2 linked regions of the Callithrix jacchus genome follow. The protein of the gene in region 1 interacts with the protein of each later gene in a pairwise test. Links are inferred from orthologs where the notes say so. Each region holds a gene or a part of one and is shown in the gene's direction. Other genes may lie near its edges.

Evidence for each region.
Region 2: the proteins of PLIN1 (region 1) and ABHD5 interact in a protein complementation assay, tested with the Homo sapiens proteins (3 studies listed by BioGRID, with this or other methods). The link is inferred for Callithrix jacchus from reciprocal best matches to the Homo sapiens genes PLIN1 and ABHD5.

Annotation. Positions count from the first base shown.
Region 1 is NC_133507.1:18,825,745-18,835,113, reverse strand, and holds the end of PLIN1 (perilipin-1), read left to right. Parts: coding exon 1-76; intron 77-1,313; coding exon 1,314-1,578; intron 1,579-1,889; coding exon 1,890-2,062; intron 2,063-3,265; coding exon 3,266-3,454; intron 3,455-3,860; coding exon 3,861-4,106; intron 4,107-5,215; coding exon 5,216-5,539; 3' UTR 5,540-6,655; downstream 6,656-9,369. UniProt on the Homo sapiens protein: Modulator of adipocyte lipid metabolism. Coats lipid storage droplets to protect them from breakdown by hormone-sensitive lipase (HSL). Its absence may result in leanness. Plays a role in unilocular lipid droplet formation by activating CIDEC.
Region 2 is NC_133516.1:26,469,620-26,478,975, forward strand, and holds part of ABHD5 (1-acylglycerol-3-phosphate O-acyltransferase ABHD5), read left to right. Parts: intron 1-2,742; coding exon 2,743-2,897; intron 2,898-5,509; coding exon 5,510-5,621; intron 5,622-5,801; coding exon of another isoform or gene 5,802-5,817; exon of another isoform or gene 5,818-7,208; intron 7,209-7,232; exon of another isoform or gene 7,233-7,296; intron 7,297-7,582; coding exon 7,583-7,769; intron 7,770-8,355; coding exon 8,356-8,445; 3' UTR 8,446-9,356. UniProt on the Homo sapiens protein: Coenzyme A-dependent lysophosphatidic acid acyltransferase that catalyzes the transfer of an acyl group on a lysophosphatidic acid.

The DNA of each region.
Region 1 (9,369 bases):
TGCCAACGAGCTGGCCTGCCGGGGCCTGGACCACCTGGAGCAAAAGATCCCAGCCCTTCAGTACCCTCCTGAAAAGGTAAGCCTTTCCCACCTCGAGAGCCTCCCTGCACTCTAGCCACCCCTCTCAGGGAGGAGAGGGCAGGGGCTGCTGAGGCAGTGACTGTACGTCTGTGTCCCACGGCGAGTGCCCTCCAAGGCCGGTGGAGGCTGCCTGCTCCCAAGGCCACACCACAGGCTCCTCTTTTCCCCGTGAAGCCAGATGGAGGTGGGGTTCCTGGAAGTTGGGTTTCTGGGACCAGCAGGCACAATCCCAGAGGCAAACTCAAACAGATGCTCAGGGCATTCCCACTACTCCCAATACCATGCCCTGGGGTCTGGGGTCCATAGTCTGCCCTGGACCACTTGGCGACTACAGCTGCCTAAGATCACAAGTCACACTCATGAAGATCCCAGGAGTGTCATCCCAGGTCCTCAAGAGCCAACATTTTATGGACCATGAGACTGAATGTCACTTTATGTGGCTACATATTCGTTGGGTAGTTGCTATGATAAAGGCCCATTTTTGCTGCTTCTGGGAGATAAGCTTCAGTCTCTGACCTCACCTATCTCACTGACCAACTGTCTACCCTTCCCACGAACACATACCGAGCCCTACCCGATGCCCGGGGCCATTGCCTATGCCTAATCAAGCCCTCACTGAACCCTCTTATCAAGCCTCTGGGATAGGGATCATTACCTCCACTTTACAGAGAGGAAACCAGTGTCTTCCCACAGCCACACAGCCTTAATTGGAGACCACGTGAGAGCAGGTCTGTTCAGCTGTGAGGTCTGTGCTCTCTGCTCCCCTTTTTTCCAGAAAAAGGGCAAGGTTTTTGTCACAAAGGAACTCTCAGGATAGTGAAGAAAAGTCAGATTATTTCAGTGCAGAACCAGTGAAGATCAAGCCCAGCTGTAAATCAATAGAAATGGCGTGTTCTGAGGAAAGGAGGGAGGAGAGTCCTGTGAGCACGAGGGTGTCAGGACACGGGCCACCAAAGAGGAGCTTTGGGGTCATCCTCGCAGGATGGGAGGGATCTTGACAGACAGTGGTGCGGTGTGAAGGAGCCAGGAGACCAAGTAGGTGGCACAGGGCAGGTGGGTGCCCTCTCCCTTTAGAGCCCAGCTTAATTCCGGGTACCCAAATATCAGCACCAGCTCCCTGGGCCTTTAGATGAGGCCTTCCTGGGAGCTAGGCTCAGGGTGCCAGGCCCCAAAAGGGTGGCCATTGTAGGATCTGCCAGACTGCATGCCTAACACCCCACTTACTCCCCCAGATTGCTTCTGAGCTGAAGGACACCATCTCCACCCGCCTCCGCAGCGCCAGAAACAGCATCAGCGTGCCCATCGCCAGCACTTCAGACAAGGTCCTGGGGGCCGCTCTGACTGGGTGCGAGCTCGCCTGGGGGGTGGCCAGAGACACTGCGGAATTTGCTGCCAACACCCGAGCTGGCCAGCTGGCTTCCGAAGGGGCCGACCTGGCCTTGGGCAGCATTGAGAAGGTGGTGGAGTACCTCCTCCCGCCAGACAAGACAGAGTCAGGTACCCATCGTTCGGAGGCTCGGCCTGGGAGTGAGTTGCTGTCACACACATGGCCTGGGATTCAGCAGGAGGTGGCAGGGCTTATCCAGCCCCTGCTCTGGAATAGGGAAGGCCAGTGGGATTTTCAGATGGACTCCTAATAATTCACCCCACCCCCACCCCATCAGTAAAGAGGGAAAGTGAGCTGTGGAAATCACCAGTGAGTTTGTGGTGGGACCAGAACACCTGCTTTCCAGCGCTAGCCATGACCCAGATCTCCCTGGCCCCTCTCTGATCCATCTTCTCTTCTTTTCCCCCATATCCCTACCCAGTCCCTGCTCCTGGACACCAGCAAGCCCAGAAGCCTCCCAAGGCCAAGCCAAGCCTTGTGCGCAGGGTTGGGGCTCTGACCAACACCCTCTCTCGACACACCATGCAGACCGTGGCCCGGGCCCTGGAGCAGGGCCACACCCTGGCCATGTGGATCCCTGGTGTGGCGCCCCTGGTGAGTGTCTGCCCTGTGCCTCCCAGGCCCCTGACCACCCACCTACCACCCCTTCCTGTCCTGAGAACATTCTGTCTTCCATCCTGGGCTGGGGCTTGAGTTCTAAGGACAAGAGGCCTTGACAGGGATGGAGGGCAGCCTTCCAGACCACAGGGAAAGAGAAGGACAGGAGGTTAGCTGAGACCAGGCCTGCCTTGCTAGAGCGGGACTGTTCACTCCCCACCACTCCCCACCCCAACCTCTCTGTATTTTAGCAGAAATAGGCTGGATTGTTTTCATAAGGAATTTTAGTAAGAAACTAAAACCAGAAAAAAAAAAAATAAGGCCGGGTGCGATGGCTCATGCCCATAATCCCAGCACTTTGGGAGGCCGAGGCAGGTGGATCACGAGGTCAAGAGATCGAGACCATCCTGGTCAACATGGTGAAACCCCATCTCTACTAAAAATACAAAAAATTAGCTGGGCATGGTGGTGCGTGCCTGTAATCCCAGCTACTCAGGAGGCTGAGGCAGGAGAATTGCTTGAACCCAGGAGGCGGAGGTTTCGGTGAGCCCGAGATCGCGCCATTGCACTCCAGCCTGGGTGACAAAGCGAGACTCCATCTCAAAAAAAGAAAAAAAAAGGAAAAAGAAAAAGAAAATGGTGGTCTCTTTCTTGATCTCTGGTGGTTACACAGGTGTGTTTTTTTTAATTTGAGATGGAGTCTCGCTCTGTCGCCAGGCACCAGGCTGGAGTGCAGTGGCACGAGCTTGGCTCACTGCAACCTCCACCTCCTAGATTCAAGCACTGCTCCTGCTTCAGCCTCCCAAATAGCTGGGACTACAGGCGTGAGCCACCATGCCCAGCTAATTTTTTTTTTTTTTTTAGTAGAGATGGGGTTTCACCTGTTGGCCAGGATGATCTCGATCTCTTGACCTTGTGATCCACCTGCCTTGGCCTCCCAAAGTGCTGGGATTACAGGCGTGAGCCACCACGCCAGGCCTAGGTGTGTTTTTATAAAAGTTCACAGAGCTTACAATAAGATGTGTGCACTTTAGTGTATGTAGATTACCAGTTAACAAAAAGTTTCAAGAAAAGTCTGCTGGGGCTGAGCCCTGCTCACCACCCTGGTCCTGACCCTTGAGGGGAAGGGCTTCGGCTGCTGGGGCTCCTGGCTTTCAGCAGGGGCAGTGGAGCCAGCGGTGTGCTGCCACCCTCCCTTAGAGCAGCCTGGCCCAGTGGGGTGCGTCAGTGGCCATGGAAGTGGTGTCCCGGCGGAAGAGCGAGGTTCGGGTGCCCTGGCTGCACAGCCTTGCCACCCAGGAGGAGGATCGTGAGGACCAGACAGACACCGAAGGAGAGGAGACAGAGGAGGAGGAAGAATCAGAGACTGAAGAGAAGAAGTTCAGTGAGGTGAGGGGAGAGTGGGAGCCTCAAGGTCCCCCAGCCCACAGACGGGGTGAGAAGCAGAGGCATAGGGTAGTACCCCAGATGCAGGGGTATGGCAGGTGGGTGCAGCACCCTTCACCCCACCCTCAAATGCCCAGTCGATGAGGGACTTCTGTGCCATTCTCTCAGCTGACCCTTCCAACACTCTGTAAACGGCAGGGCAGAGATGACTGTCCTGTTTTGCAGGAGAAGAAACAGAGGTTCAGAGAGGGGATGTGACCTGCCCAAAGCCACGCTCTGGTGGCAGAATAGGCCCCAAGTTGTGTACATTTGGTATTCCTGTGTGTTTCCCCTCTAGCTCTGGGGCTGGTGGGGCGAGAAGGGTCAGGGGAGTCGCCGCAGGAGGCACTGACCCTGCTCTGGCCCCCAGGTAGCAGCCCTGCCAGGCCCTCAGGGCCTCCTGGGCAATGTGGCACACACCCTGCAGAAGGCCCTCCAGACCACCATCTCGGCTGTTACATGGGCACCTGCAGCTGTGCTGGGCATGGCAGGGAGGGTGCTGCACCTCACCCCAGCCCAGGCCGTCACCTCCACCAAGGGGAGGGCCATGTCGCTATCAGATGCCCTGAAGGGCGTTACTGACAACGTGGTGGACACAGTGGTGCACTACGTGCCGGTGAGTCCCACCCCTGGTAAGCTGTTAGTGTCCCAAGGGGGGCTGGACTGGGCAGATAAAGTAGATCTGACTGAAGGGGCTGCAGACCCGTCCTTTCCCTCTGGAGACCCTCCTTAGGCCTCAGTGCCCTGCCAACATGTCGACATACTGCGCCTCTCCCAGCCCCAGGAGGATAGAGGCCCACAGCCCTGGCCTGAGGCCTCCTCCCCTCGGCCCCTCCCACTTGCTGGTAGGAGTCTCCTGCCTCAGCCCTGAGATCCCAGTGGCTCACCCTCACCCCTCTACTCCCAACTGAAGGGCTTGGCAGGTTTAGGGCAGATTTGGGACAGGTTTGGGGCAGGTTTGCATGCTGAGGCCTGGGAAGGGTTGGAGAGGCTTCCAGGGCACTCTAGGGGTGGGCCATGAGTTCAGGAGACAGCAGCAGGCCCCAAGCAATTCTATCACCTGTCACCAGTAGGAAAACCCCCCCAGGATACCAATGCCATCCCTTTGGGAGCCCCTTTCCAGAGCAAGTTACAGGCTGGCAGGCCGGAGCAGGGCTGGTCAGGGCAGAAGGCACCCATAGAGGGTGGGTTTCTCAGTCATTCTCTCCAACAAGCAGCAGGCCAGGGATCTTAGCAGCCGGCTTGTTTGCCCTGCGCCCGGACCAGCCACAGGAAGGCGAGCCCGGACCAGGTCACTGTGCGGGCTGCAAGGAAGGGTTAGGAAAGCTGATGACGTCCCACTGAGCGTTCCCCGGAGGGAGGCCCAGGGATCCTGAAACTCTGGGAGGCCTGGCTTGCCTGAGTGGCCTGGTCCGTGGAGAGGCTCAGGGTGGGCAGGACCTCGGGGTTTTCCCCGGTGCCAACAAACTACCGTCCCGCCCCCCAGCCTGTGCTCTCCGGATGGCCGCCCCCCTGGGGAACAATCGAGGGACCGGGCTGGGCAGGGGCAGTGGGTCGGAGGCTCAGGGACCAGGGCCAGGCCGGGGCTGTCACGCGACTACGGGGCTGAGCAGGGGTGGTGGGTCCGGGGCTCTAAGGCGGCTACCAGGCCCGGGGAAGCGGCGGTGGGTCCGGGGCGCAGGGATGGGGCCGAGCTGGTGCTCTAAGTAGATTGCCGGGTTCCAGCTCCCCAGGCTGTCGCTGATGGAGCCGGAGAGCGAATTCCGGGACATCGACCACCCGCCCCCGGAGACGGAGCGCAGGGCGTCGGGAGCGCAGTCCCCCGGCCCTGAGCCCGCCCCGCGCCCCGCCCAGTCCCGCGGGAACCTTCGCCGCGCGCGGAGCCCCGGCCCGGAGGACGAGGCTGACTCTCCCGCTGCGCCGCGCGCGTTCCCGGCAGTGCCCCGGGAGAAGCCGAAGCGCAGGGTCAGCGACAGCCTCTTTCGCCCCAGCGTCCTGGAGCCCATCCTGGGCCGCGCGCAGTACAGCCAGCTGCGCAAGAAGAGCTGAGCCGCGCGCCCAGACCTCGACCCTCCGCACACACAACCCGCGCAGCCCCGGGCCAGCTGCCTCTTCCAAATCAGCCCCTGGGACCCCGCTGCATCCCCCGGCTGCCGAGGCACACACTTTCTTAGCATCTTTCTGGCGCTTCACCCTCAGAGCCAGTTTTTAAGGGACACCAGAGCCACAGCCTGCTCTGAACTAAAAGAGAAATGGCCTCCGTTGGTTTTTCATCTCTTTAACCAAACGTGTGGCCGAAAGACATTTGACCGTTTTCAAAATTCAGATTCTGCCTCTGTGGATCAACCTTTGCCACAAATGAGTAGCTCTGGTCACCACCCTAAGGTCCAAACAGAGGTTTTGACACATTCTTAGCACTGAACTCAGAGATCCTCTGGCGATCGATCGAGGCTCCTAGCAGACTACTTTGAAGGGAATAATCAGATGCAAAAGCTCTTGCGTGATTATTCATAATTCCAGTGTCACTTTCTGAGTCCCCGCCCCTTCATAGGCTGGGTCCCAGGCCTGTGCTCTGCAGAGCCCGAGGCTTGCTCGAAGCCACGTTTCCATTGGCATCATCACTGTCTTCACCTGCGTAGTCACTCTCTTGATGCCCCCCAGATGCTGGGGAAGGAAAATGGTGACCATATATATAGACTTTATAGCCACAGAACAGGAATGTTAATATTTGATAAATCTAGACAATACATTCATACAATTATAAAATTCATACATTGCAAAAGGGTGTGTGTCTCTCTCCCTGAGCCCCCATGTTCCCCTCCATAAAAACCAGCATGGTGCCGCTCTCATGTGTGCCCGTGGTTATGGTGCCGCTCTCATGTGTGCCCGTGGTTATGGGCTATGCCCCTGCAGGCACGTGTCTGCACTTCCTGCTTGCCTTCGAATTAGCCTGCTTTTTTCACTTAATAACTCAGCTTGGAGAGATTTATGTATCACATCATAAATCCCACTCGCTCTTTTCGATGGCCGCATAATAACTACTGCGTAGTATGGATATGCCTTGTTTAATTTAACTAGTTCCCTAACGATGGACTTTTAAGTCCTTTCCTTTTTTTCTTTTTATTGCTACTGCAAACAGTGCTATAATAAATGTCCTGACCAAAATGTCTAGTGTACATGTGTGGATATGTATATATATGATAAGTGTGTAACTTGTAACCATGACATGCTAGTGAAATAATATGTGCACTTCAAGTATTGCTAGATAACGCCGAGTAGCCTTCCAAACCAAACCTTATTTTTCTAGTTATTTTCACCTGCAGCTTCAGAAATATGCACAGAAAATTATGACTCTTTGGTCAGTCCTTTTAGACATCTGTATATTTTTTTGGGGGGGGGCGAGTCTCACCCTGTCACCCAGGCTGGAGTGCAATGCTGCAATCTTGGCTCACCGAAACTTCTGCCTCCCAGGTTCAAGCGATTCTCTGCCTCAGCCTCCCAAGTAGCTGGGGTTACAGGTGTGCGCCACCACACCCAGCGAATTTTTGTGTTTTTAGTAGAGATGGGGTTTCAGCATGTTGGCCAGGCTAGTCTTGAACTTCTGATCTCGTGATCTACCTTCCTTGGCCTCCCAAAGTGCTGGGATTACAGGCATGAGCCGCTGCAGCCGGCCTGACACCCACATATTTATATTCATCTTCTACAGGCTTCCCTCAGACCCATAAGCACCCACGCTGTTGGCTCTCAGTCTGCTGCACCCTGGAAGCCCCCACTCCTGGAACTGACTCTGGGCCCTGGCAGATCTTTGGTGTAATGAGACATGGGCCTTGATCTGCAGTTTTGGAGTCTGAGGATGGCAAGAATGGGGACAGGAGAGAGGCTGGTAGACACACACATGAAGACATGGCCAGGCCCCTGGGCCAGCCATGGGCCCTCTGCACCCTACTTCCATGATATAAACTACACCCAGCAGTTCCCTGGTGGGTGTGGAAGGTGGAGTTGGCAAGAGGCGTTCTGAGAAGCTGATTTAACAGGGCTGAGAAGACAGCCCAGCACAGCCCTGGCAGGGCTCCCATGGACAGATGCTGGAAAAGTGACCTTGGGCCTGGATGTGCAGAAAGAAACTCCTGCCTGTCCCGGGCCTCACCCACCCGGGTTGCATTCTTCCTGGGGCTCCGGAAACCACGTTCCTAGTTATCTGCTCCTCGCCAGCCCCGTGGCTCCTCCTGCTAGGCTGTGTTCCAGAAGGCAGGAAAGCTGCCTCCTCAGCCGCATGAGGGCTGTGGCCGCCAACAGGCCCGCTGGCCAGCCCAGCTCCCTCACTCATCCCTGGACCTGGGCGCAAGACTGCAGGCCGAATATGGAATAGGACAGCCCAGGAAGCAAACAGTGTAAGTTGTAAGTTTCTTTTTACTCTTAGAAACCTTTTGAATAGGCAGCAAGGTACACTGAAGCTGCTTCTCTGTATTTTGGACACGTTTGGGACAATAACAAGGGCAAAGTAGCTCCGCTAAATGGCAGACATTTGCTTTCTTGGCTCTAGGCTCAAGGGGGGACTTTCCTCTGTTCTGGGAGGCATCACTTTGGTAAGGCCCCCCAACACTCAGTATCTTCAGTAGCTCAGGACCTACAAAAGACCTTCAGTTCACATAGGGTTGCCCAGGGTCCTTCAGAGAAATACCTAATGGCTTCCATTCCAGCTCACAAAGCCCACTTCTTTTTTTTCACTTTTTTTTTTTTTGAGATGGAGTCACTCTGTCGCTAGGCTGGAGTGCAGTGGCACGATCTTGGTTCACTGCAACCTCCGATTTCCTGGTTCAAGTGATTCTTCTCTTCCTCATTCTCCTCAGTAGCTGGGATTACAGCCACATGCCACCATGTCCAGCTAATTTTTTTTTTTTTTTTTTTTTTTTTTTTAAGTAGAGATGGGGTTTCGCCATGTTGGCCAGAATGGTCTCAATCTCCTGACCTTGAGTCTCACTATGTTGCCCAGGCTGGTCTTGAACTCCTGATCTCAAGCTATCCTCCCGCTTCAGCCTCCCAGAGTGCTGAGATTCCAGGTGTAAGCCACCATACTCAGCCTTGAGTTTCTCTCTAAATGAATTGTATACGCAGGCTGGAGTGCAGTGGCACCATCTAAGCTCACTGCAGCCTCCACCTGCTAGGCTCAAGCCAGAGTATCTTCCTACCTCAACTTCCCTTGTGGCTGGGACTATAGGCCCATGCCACCATGCCTGTCTAATGTTTGTATTTTTTGTAGAAATGGCTTTGCCCTGTTGCCCAGGCTTGTCTCAAACTCCTGGGCTGAAGGGATCTGCCTGATTTGGCCTCCCAGAGTGCTGGGTTTACAGACCTGGGCCACCTTGCCTGGCCCAGAATTGTACCTCTTTTTTTTTTTTTTTTTTGAGATGGCGTCTTGCCCTGTTGCTAGGCTGGAGTACAGTGGTGTGATCTTGGCTCACACAACCTCCACCTCCTGGGTTCAAGTGATTCTCCTGCCTCAGCCTCCTGAGAAGCTGGGGCTACAAGTATGCATTACCACACCCAGCTAATTATTGTATTTTTAGTAGAGAGGGGATTTAACCATGTTGGCCCGGCTGGTCTCGATCTCCTGACCTTGTGATCCACCCTCTTTGGCCTCCCAAAGTGGTGGGATTACAGGTGTGAGCCACCGTGCACGGCCCAGAATTGTACCTCTTAAACACGATGTTTCATCAATCAATATCACCTTTTGTTACATTTTACACACATGAAGATCCAAGTTCAGTTTTCTGCTTCTTCACATTTTCAGGGTCTAATATGATTCTTTCTGGTGATCATGGCGGCAGGCTGCTCTGTGTCGTTCTTGCTCAGGACGGCGACCGATTTAGAATATTTGG
Region 2 (9,356 bases), on another chromosome or scaffold:
AACTAGCTTACATTTACTGAATACTTAGCATTTGATAGCCACCAACCGGAGTGCTTTGCATGGTTTATCTTATTTAAAATCTTTACGACCAAAAATAAGGAAAATTATTTTCTGGGGTCTTTACATGTAGTAGAAGCAGATGATATATAACTACAGTTAACTACAGTTTAGATTTTTCAAGTTTTAAAAAACTGTGTTCAAACTTTTTTGACTATGGCCCTTCTGTATTGTTTGGAATAGAAAAATGCAAGTCTATCACCCCACAAAACTTGTTTCAGACACCCACACATACATATATTAATACAATTTTTTGGCCAATATTCAATGCTTATGATTTATTTTTCTATTCCAAACAATATAATTTTATTTAAAAAAAAAACTAGACTGGTTCTTGACCATCTAAATGGATTTTATTACCCAATAATGAGATTAATAAATAGCAATGATGTTCTGATGTTATCTAGAAATAGTCAGCTGGATATGCTTATGCTATGATTATGCTTTATAAAATTTGTATATCCTTAATAGATTAGGACCAAAAGAAAATGTAGAAAAGCATTTTAACCCAAATGTTTACCAAGCATCCTTCGTGTGCTGAGCATCATGCTAGGTTATGAAAACATAGAATTGAGCAATTGTAGGGACAGTTTACTCCTTTTCAAAAAGAAACAAAAGAGGTCATCTACCTTAGTATCTATACTTTGCATAATTTGTTAAACTGGCATTTTCACCTAGGGATGAAATTTTGAAGATCATATTTTAAAGGCAAGCCAAAAGTAAGGCAAAAACAGTCACTTACCTAGAGATAGATGAGACTCTGTCAAGTTTTTCTTTGTCCTCCTTGTTTTTGAGTTAGCGGGTCGGAAAGAGCCTAGAGCAGACAGAGCAAGATTCATTAACAAATTTATGACAAAAATTTAACACTTGTTTAGGGTAGGGTATGTTTTAATAAAGAGTTCATTTTTCTCTTTAGGAGGTAAGTCAGTGAAAAATAGTGGTCGTTTCTTAACATGAATCTTTGCTGCTTTCAACTAGGTGTCTGTCTTGTTAGTTCCACTCATACTTCTGTTAAGCCTCTCCCTTCCCCTTCCCCAGATCTTATTGTGGGCTGTAATAGAAAGAATTCATTAGGTGGTCAAAATATAAGAGATAGTTTTTGCCATTAAAAAACAAAGCAAAACACTCATTTCCAACCTCTTTCTGATACGCAATTAGAAAATATTCTCATATGAAATTTTTAGACTGTGAAGGTACACTTCATAATTATATGAAACTCATTTATCACGTATCTTCATACATCTTTATATTCTACCATGTTCTCAATGCTATGAAATCTAGAATATAATATTAGGACTAGCCTTGAGAGTTGGTAAAGGTTAATTTTTACCTTTACTAATATGTCTATCTTATGTTGATTAGCCTGTTTAGAAAATTGCTTATCGGCATCTGTTAGCATGCTGGAGTAGAGAAATGTGGGTTTCAGCCTTAGTTCTACATGAACTAATGTTATATACCAGAGCAGGTCACGTAGTATATCTTAGCTTCCTTCTGGTCTGAGATGAAAGATTGGACCCAGTATTCTCCAAGGGATCATAGAGCTCTGTGCTCTAAAGCTTTCTGTCTTAAAAAAAAAAAGCAATCAGAGTATGGACCTGTTACTAACTCATTATGTATACTGACAATAATTGAATAGATTTTATATGAGGAATAATACCATCTGTGCCCATGTTTTTGTTTCTTTGCCTTTCTGTTTCAGTTATAACTTAGGAAAGGACTTTAGAATCATTGTCAGTTTATCCTTGGGAGATTTTTTGGCTGGCATTTCTTGGCTGGTTTGGTTACAGCTGAACATTGTTTTGTATCAGAAGGATCTTTGTACTTCGTTTAGAATCTTTATGATGTATAAAGCATGATGCAGCTACGTGGAAGTACTGCTGATAGTTCCGGTTTTTCTTCAATGGGAAGAAGTTTCATAAGATGGAAATATTAGAATTATTAACAATATGAAATAATTTTATATGAAGTGGTACTGAAGATTTTCTATCTCTTGGTCAATGAAGGAGAAAATTGGGAAAGTATTGGAAACAGAATCTAATGTCAGTATAGCGTGTTATCATGGGTAAGGTAGACAGACATGTTCCTTTTCAACATTTCTAGAATCCAAAAATAGGGAGTGTTTTCAGTCCATATTACATTATCTTTATGTTTATGAAAAGTTCATTTAAAGCACTTTTGAACCCACTTTAAGTCCTTAACTTCTCTTAAATTTTTAGGATGTTTGATTCATGGGAGATGATGGTTGTTGGTATATGAGGCTATTTTATAAGAATGCCTATAATCCCAGCTACTCGGGAGGCTGAGGCGGGAGAATTGCTTGAACCCAGGAGGCGGAGGTCGCGGTGAGCCGAGATTGCGCCATTGCACTCCAGCCTGGGTAACAAGAGTGAAACGCCGTCTCAAAAAAAATAAATACATAAAAATAAAAGAATGTGATACTGATCTTAGCCGTTTTTGCTTTGTCAACCTTGACATACACAGAATCTTTGGATTTTTCTGAGTGGCTAGTGATCTACATAAGTTTACACAGAATAAGAGCATGATATGACTCTTTAGCCACTAGTCTTTAACATGAAGGTTTTTGAAGGTGGTTTGCTCTACCTTTATTTTATAAATCATGTTAGCTCTTTATAGTCTTAGGGTGGTTTTACCAAATGAACTTAAATTTCTTCTTTCCCCCAACAGGGTTAATCATCTCATTTTAGTGGAGCCTTGGGGTTTCCCTGAACGACCAGACCTTGCTAATCAAGACAGACCAATTCCAGTTTGGATCAGAGCCTTGGGAGCAATATTGACTCCTTTTAACCCTTTAGCTGGCCTAAGGATTGCAGGACCCTTTGGTGAGTGCTTATGTCCTAAGAAAGTAAAATGTTTATAGATTATCAGTGGAGGAGTATTCACTATCATTAGTCAAAATCTTAAAAACAAACAAGCCTGAACCCTTTTTATCCTCTTCCTTTAATAAGTACCATGTCTTGCACAAAGAGGAATACAACTAGGCTTTTTTCCTCAAAGGGGAGTCTTTATATTGAAATAAGTAATTAGTAAAGCGAGAAGGAGGGGAATGCTGAGGATGCCGTTAGTCAGTCCTGAATACTCTGAGAAAAGCCAGGCAAGCAGAGTGTTTTGGGGAGTATATAAGAAGCTCTGCTAGCCCAGGGCCTGGGAGAAGTGTAGCATGTTACCCTGTTGGTGAGCATTGGAGAGCATTTGGCCAATTGATGATACCATTTGGGAGATCCCCTGGGGATAAAAGATACCACCACACTCACAGATTTCCCTTATCCAGAATGTTGGAAAGATAAAGGTATTTTTTCCACAACGTTTTGGAGACTCCTGATACATATTTCTGGTCATATTTTGAGGTACCCGTGTTTAGTTCCTGATTGACTTTTATTTCACTCTCAGCTGCTCTGCCTTAGCCCTATAGCCATGGGAATTTTCTTCCCTCACTGTCACAGATAATGATGGTTCGACCCTCGGCCTTTCTCCCATACAACTTGTATGAGTTTGGAGTACTTTTAGTTGTAAGTAATTGAATACCCAGTGGCTTAAATTTAAGGCCTTTTATTATTTCCCTAATAAGCAATCTGGAAATAGGTTTTAGCACTTGTTCTAGTTGTTTGCTCATTGGTGTTAAAGTTTGGGTCTGTGTCTGTGATTTTCTTGACCTTTTTTCTCACGGGGTTTGATGCCTGCCATGGCATTAAGCACCATCTCACAAAACAGCACCCTGAGCAAAAAGAAAGAAAAGCATGGAAAATGGTCCTTCTCTCCATAATGCTTTGTCAGGGAAGAAAGTTCTCCCTGGAAGGCCCCAGCCGACCTCCCATTGTGTCTCTCTCCACTCCTAGTCCTTCCACCAGCAAAGAAAAATTTTCTATGACTGACCAGTCATGATTTGTTCCCAGGGCCTGCTTTCCTGGGCACATTGCTGCCTAATTGATACTATAGAAAAGATGGGTTCTAGCTAGGTGCCATGGCTCATACCTGTAATCCCAGCACTTTGGGAGGATGGGGTTGGCAGATCACTTGAGGCCAGGGTTCAAGACTAGCCTGGCTAACGTGGCAAACCCCATCTCTACTAAAAATATAAAACGATTAGCTAGGCGTGGTGGCACACACCTGTAATCGCAGCTATTCGGGAGGCTGAGGCATGAGAATTGCTCAAACCCGGGAGGTGGAGGTTATGGTGAGTTGAGAGCATGCCACTATACTCCAGCCTGGGCAACAGAGCAAGACCCTGTCTCAGAAAAAAAAAAAAAGATGGATTCTGTTAGCAAGAAAGAGAAGAGGCATGGGGGTGTGGATGAGGGTATGGGATTAACTATCATGCAGGTGACTACAAATGCTGTTCCCCTTTGCCCAGCCCTGACCCCTTTTGGTCCTAGTGCCTTCTCTTTGGATTGGGAGAGCAGTGGAACTGCAGGACTTAGAGGAGGGTAGGGGGGTTGAATTGGTGACCACACTTTACTCCCTCAGTACTCTTACAGATGGCACATTTTGCCATCTGCAGTCTTGAAGCCCTCCCCAGTAGAGCCACTCCTTATGTGCCTGGTCCTCTTCTGGTAAACTACTTAAGAGCTTCATTTAGTCTTTATAGTCCTGAAATATAAATGGATTTTACTAGATCACAGGTACACAAATAACAATTATGGGAAAAGTAAAGTATGAAGAGAAGTTAGGAGACAGTGATGGGCAAGGGAGGATACCGAGGAGAGGCTCTTTAAAGCCATGCCCTCAGCCTCCCATTATTGCTTGCACTTGGGCGTGGGGTGGTGATACAGAATCAGCTCATGACAGAATTTCTTGGTGGAGCTGTATAATTCCTCAGAGATGGGATTAAAGGGCAAGTAGAGAAGTAAAGGCTTGCTGGAGTCATGGGGTAGTGGCAGCAGAAAGGGACGCCATTCAGTCTCTGGGGCCTCAGAATGAAAAATTGTGACTAGAAGAAAGCTTCTGTTCTTCATCCTCTTTCCCTTGGGGGCTTTGCCCTGGACTTTTTCTAGAGTGGGGTTGTGGGTGTCACCATGGATGACCTTAGCAGGGAGTCTTGCTAGTGTCCCAGGAAGAAACTGAATGTATTTTCATACAGAACAATTTACATATTACCAATTTACTTCATTTAGATGCTAATGTGTTATAATTACAGAAGAAATACAAGTTAATACATTAATTTTATGTATGAGCTACTCATTGGCCTTCTAACTTAAATGTTTTTGAGGCCCTAAAGCATATCTGTAAGTCAAAATACAATACTCTTTAATTTTTATATTAATATTTCTTTGGGGAACTTTAGGAGGACTCCTATCAGAATGTGTGCTTTTTCCCACCTGCAATATGTATTCGTAGGTATGTGTGCACATAACACTCGTTACACAGGTAAGCACTAAAACTCTATATTATTTAGTTGATAAGTTAATTATACATTTTTAAATTTCCTGTTAAATAGGTTTAAGTCTAGTGCAGCGTTTAAGGCCTGATTTCAAACGGAAGTATTCTTCAATGTTTGAGGATGATACTGTGACAGAATACATCTACCACTGTAATGTGCAAACTCCAAGGTGAGGGTTAGGAGTCTAAATTTACTCTGTGTGTGTGTATGTGTGTGTGTGTGTGTGTGTGTGTGTGTGTGTTTTATACTATTTTTTAAAAAATATATCTGATTCAGAAGATTTTTATCAGTAGTTAAATTTAAAAGGACAAAATGTCTAATATGTCTTAATTTATTCATCTATTCTTAGAGTACCTACTGTATAAAACAATGTGCTGAGTTCTGATGGGAGATTAAAAAGTAAGATGTTCACGCTTCCCCCAAAATTCTTATGGATAAGTTGAGGAAGCATTGGTCTTGGGCATCTCCAAGAGATGGTTTGAGTTGAGAGTTAAGGAATTTCACATTTAAAGAAGTATTTCCCAAACTGAATATAAATAGTTCATCAAAAAAAAAAAAAGAGAGAGAGAGAGAGAGAAAGGTGCTGGATTAAACAAAAGTAAGTGGTTGTCTTTACTATTAATCCTCTTAGAACCTTTACTATACCAAAGGGTATTGAATCTCCCAAGTGAATGGGAGATGCTGTGTAGTATTTTTCAAGTTCATTCGATGGTTGTACTCCTGAACAACTCTAAACATCTTTAGGTCAGCATTAGAAATGCAGCTGCAGAGGGTGAGGAGTAAGTGAAGGATTCTGCCTGTATTTTGACAGTGATTAGAAGGAGAGAAAGAATCGAGCATAGTAGCCAGAGGGAGCAAGAGGGTCAAATGTATTTTTTTCTTTAAAATATGACTTATGAATATTGGGTGAAAAGTACCAGTGGAGAAAACAGAGCCTGATGATAGTGGGGAGCTAGGAGGATGCTGAATGATAAGGCCCTTGAGTTTCTGGGAGGAGCATCAAGAATAGAGTGCAAAGATGAGGGCCACAGTTCTCATGCTATGTTGTGTCCTGGAATTATTGGGGGTGCTTGTTAAAATGTGACTCCTGAGGCTTATTTCTAAGACACAGATTAGCATTTCTGGGTTGCATCTCTAACAAATACTCTGGTGATTCTGTATAGGTGGGCCATGGAGCATACTTTCTCATCCTTTCTAAGACCCGAGGTTTGGATGAAAGGCTAAGCGGCGAGTTGCAGAGACAGCCTCCCTCCCTTTTATTTCCTCCCTCACTTTTGGCAGAAAATATGTACACCTACTTTATTAAAAAGATTGAGGCCATGGCAGCTATTTATAGGTGTAGCTGTAGTTTCAGTCTTTTTAATAAAGTAGGTTAGAGGTTCTCTGCCAAGAGTTAGGGAGGCTGGAGGTTCAAGGTCCTCAAGAGATTGAGGTTTTGTGACTTGCTAGGCAGTCAGGTCTGGTGGATTCGGTCTACACACTTTATTGACTTGTTCCAACAGTTTTGTTTTAGGGGTCTGCCCCAGGAACCTCATTCATTTTCCTGATCAGTCTAAGTTTTACTCTTCGCGTGCTCTCATTTCATGATTACATGTGTTCATGTAGTCCTAGTTTGTTACCTTTCTTGTGGTGAGACTTGAATTCTTCATAAAAGGCAAGTTAGAATGATGTCTAGTTCTATAAGAATAGCAGAGTAACAGCAAAATAGACTATCCTGAGAGTTCCCAAGAATATATCATCTGAGTTTCTTCTTAACTTGATAATGGTTTTGGCATTGCAGGTGAAATGCTGGTGCCATGAACCTGGGGATAAGCTACCTTCTTTCTACATCAGTTTAAATAAAGGTGAAAATACATATTTTTAGCTGCTATCTCCACAATAAATAATTTAATAATAGAGAATTGGGGTTGTACATTTTGATTTAGAAGAAAACTTAATCAGCTAGTTCATACAGCAGCCTTGCTTATCTAACTTGTTCCTTAAACTGTCTTGTAAATTATTTTCTATTTAAGCTGAGGATTTTCTTAAGTGCTGGAAAAGCTAAGTATGAATGTGTTTTGATAGAAGTGACAGTGCAGTGCATGCTCATTCCCAAAAATCATACATTGTGATTTTTCCTTGTCATTAAAGTGGTGAGACAGCTTTCAAGAATATGACTATTCCTTATGGATGGGCAAAAAGGCCAATGCTCCAGCGAATTGGTAAAATGCACCCTGACATTCCAGTTTCAGTGATCTTTGGCGCCCGATCCTGCATAGATGGCAATTCTGGCACCAGCATCCAGTCATTACGACCACATTCATATGTGAAGACAATAGTAAGTGTGTGGCTTGATTTGGGTTTTTAGATACAGGTGAAGTCTGTTTTATTATCTTTCTTAAAAGAGGTTTTTAGGTCATACTCGTATTGCAGGTCATCTGAGCTATACCTGCAGCCTCAATCAGGGGCCTGATACCACATGTGATGGGTGAGGGTTAGGGTTTGGACTGCACACATCTTCATGTGCAAACAGTGAACCACCTTTCTGAGTGAACTTTCCTGTCCCTAGAACCACAGCATTAGGAGAAATGGACAGAGGTACTAGTCCCGTAGCTCAGGTAATTCCCACCTTACAAGGCAGCACATTCTCACTTTTTTTAGTTTCTCTGTTGGCAATTTATTAGTGGTCAATTTAGTGTTTTTTGCATATTAAAATTGTACTAAGATTCAGTAGATTTTTATATTCTCAGATCCTTTTAATGGAAATACTTAACATTTACTATAGATTATTGTTACTTTTTATCATGTGTTTTATTTAAATATAGTGGCTCTCACTTTTATTACTAAGTGTCTTTGAGTATATATCATTGTGTTTTATTAAATGCTTTTACTCACTAACCATCTGAATACTTTTTCTTATCCAGGCTATTCTTGGGGCAGGACATTATGTATATGCAGATCAACCAGAAGAATTCAACCAGAAAGTAAAGGAGATCTGCGACACTGTGGACTGAACACGCTAAAGCTCTTACGGGAAAACCTGGTGACTGATAGAATTGTTCAGCAATAATGCATAGTCTATGCTGAAGAGTAATGAATACAACACAAGAACCAGACAGCCTTCTTGACTATACTTTGCACGTGTTTTCTTTATGAATTCACTTGCACATTTAAACCAGTTAGTGCCTTCTAGAAGAATGGCTTTCCTTTCTCCTACACAAAATTGAAATATACAAGTCTCTAAATTTAATACCTTCAAATAAAAGGTTGTTTGTCCCTTTGATGTACTGAAAAACTGTAATTTTTCAGCTGAAAATTTTTTAATCTAACTTTGCTAGTCAGATACTTTCTATATTGCAATCTATATTGCCAATTTTGGAAGTGATTTCTGAGTCTCTAATGTTATACTGTAAAGGTGCACTTTATTTTGTCTTCTTAATCAAGTATTTATTGTGTCTAATAACTGATAATCTGAATTCAATGTGTTTTTATGTCAAAATTTGTCAGTTTAGGATATTTCACTTTGTTTTTGAAATGAAGTGACAAGGCAGATTTTTGCTTAAAGGATGGGAGTTGATCACTAGCATAACTTTTCTGGTTTTCCTCTTTTTTATATTTAAGGCTGCTAAGCCTAATTCAGCATCTTAAATGTGGACTATCCTGACATACACAGTGTATAACAACATAGTTCCTTGGAACCTTCTATGTGTGGTATAATTCTGCACTTCCAAGGAGCATGACTTCAATAATTCAGTGATTCAGGTACTGAAAAGCCTCAACTAAAAGGCTGTCCTTTGTTTCCCCTTTTAATACTATTCTTTTCCATGACCCAGGATGCAGCAAGTGGAACAAATTTCTTCACCTAAGGGGATAGTAAGACTGTTACTTCCTATTAAGCCAAATAATATATTTTTGTTAACATCTA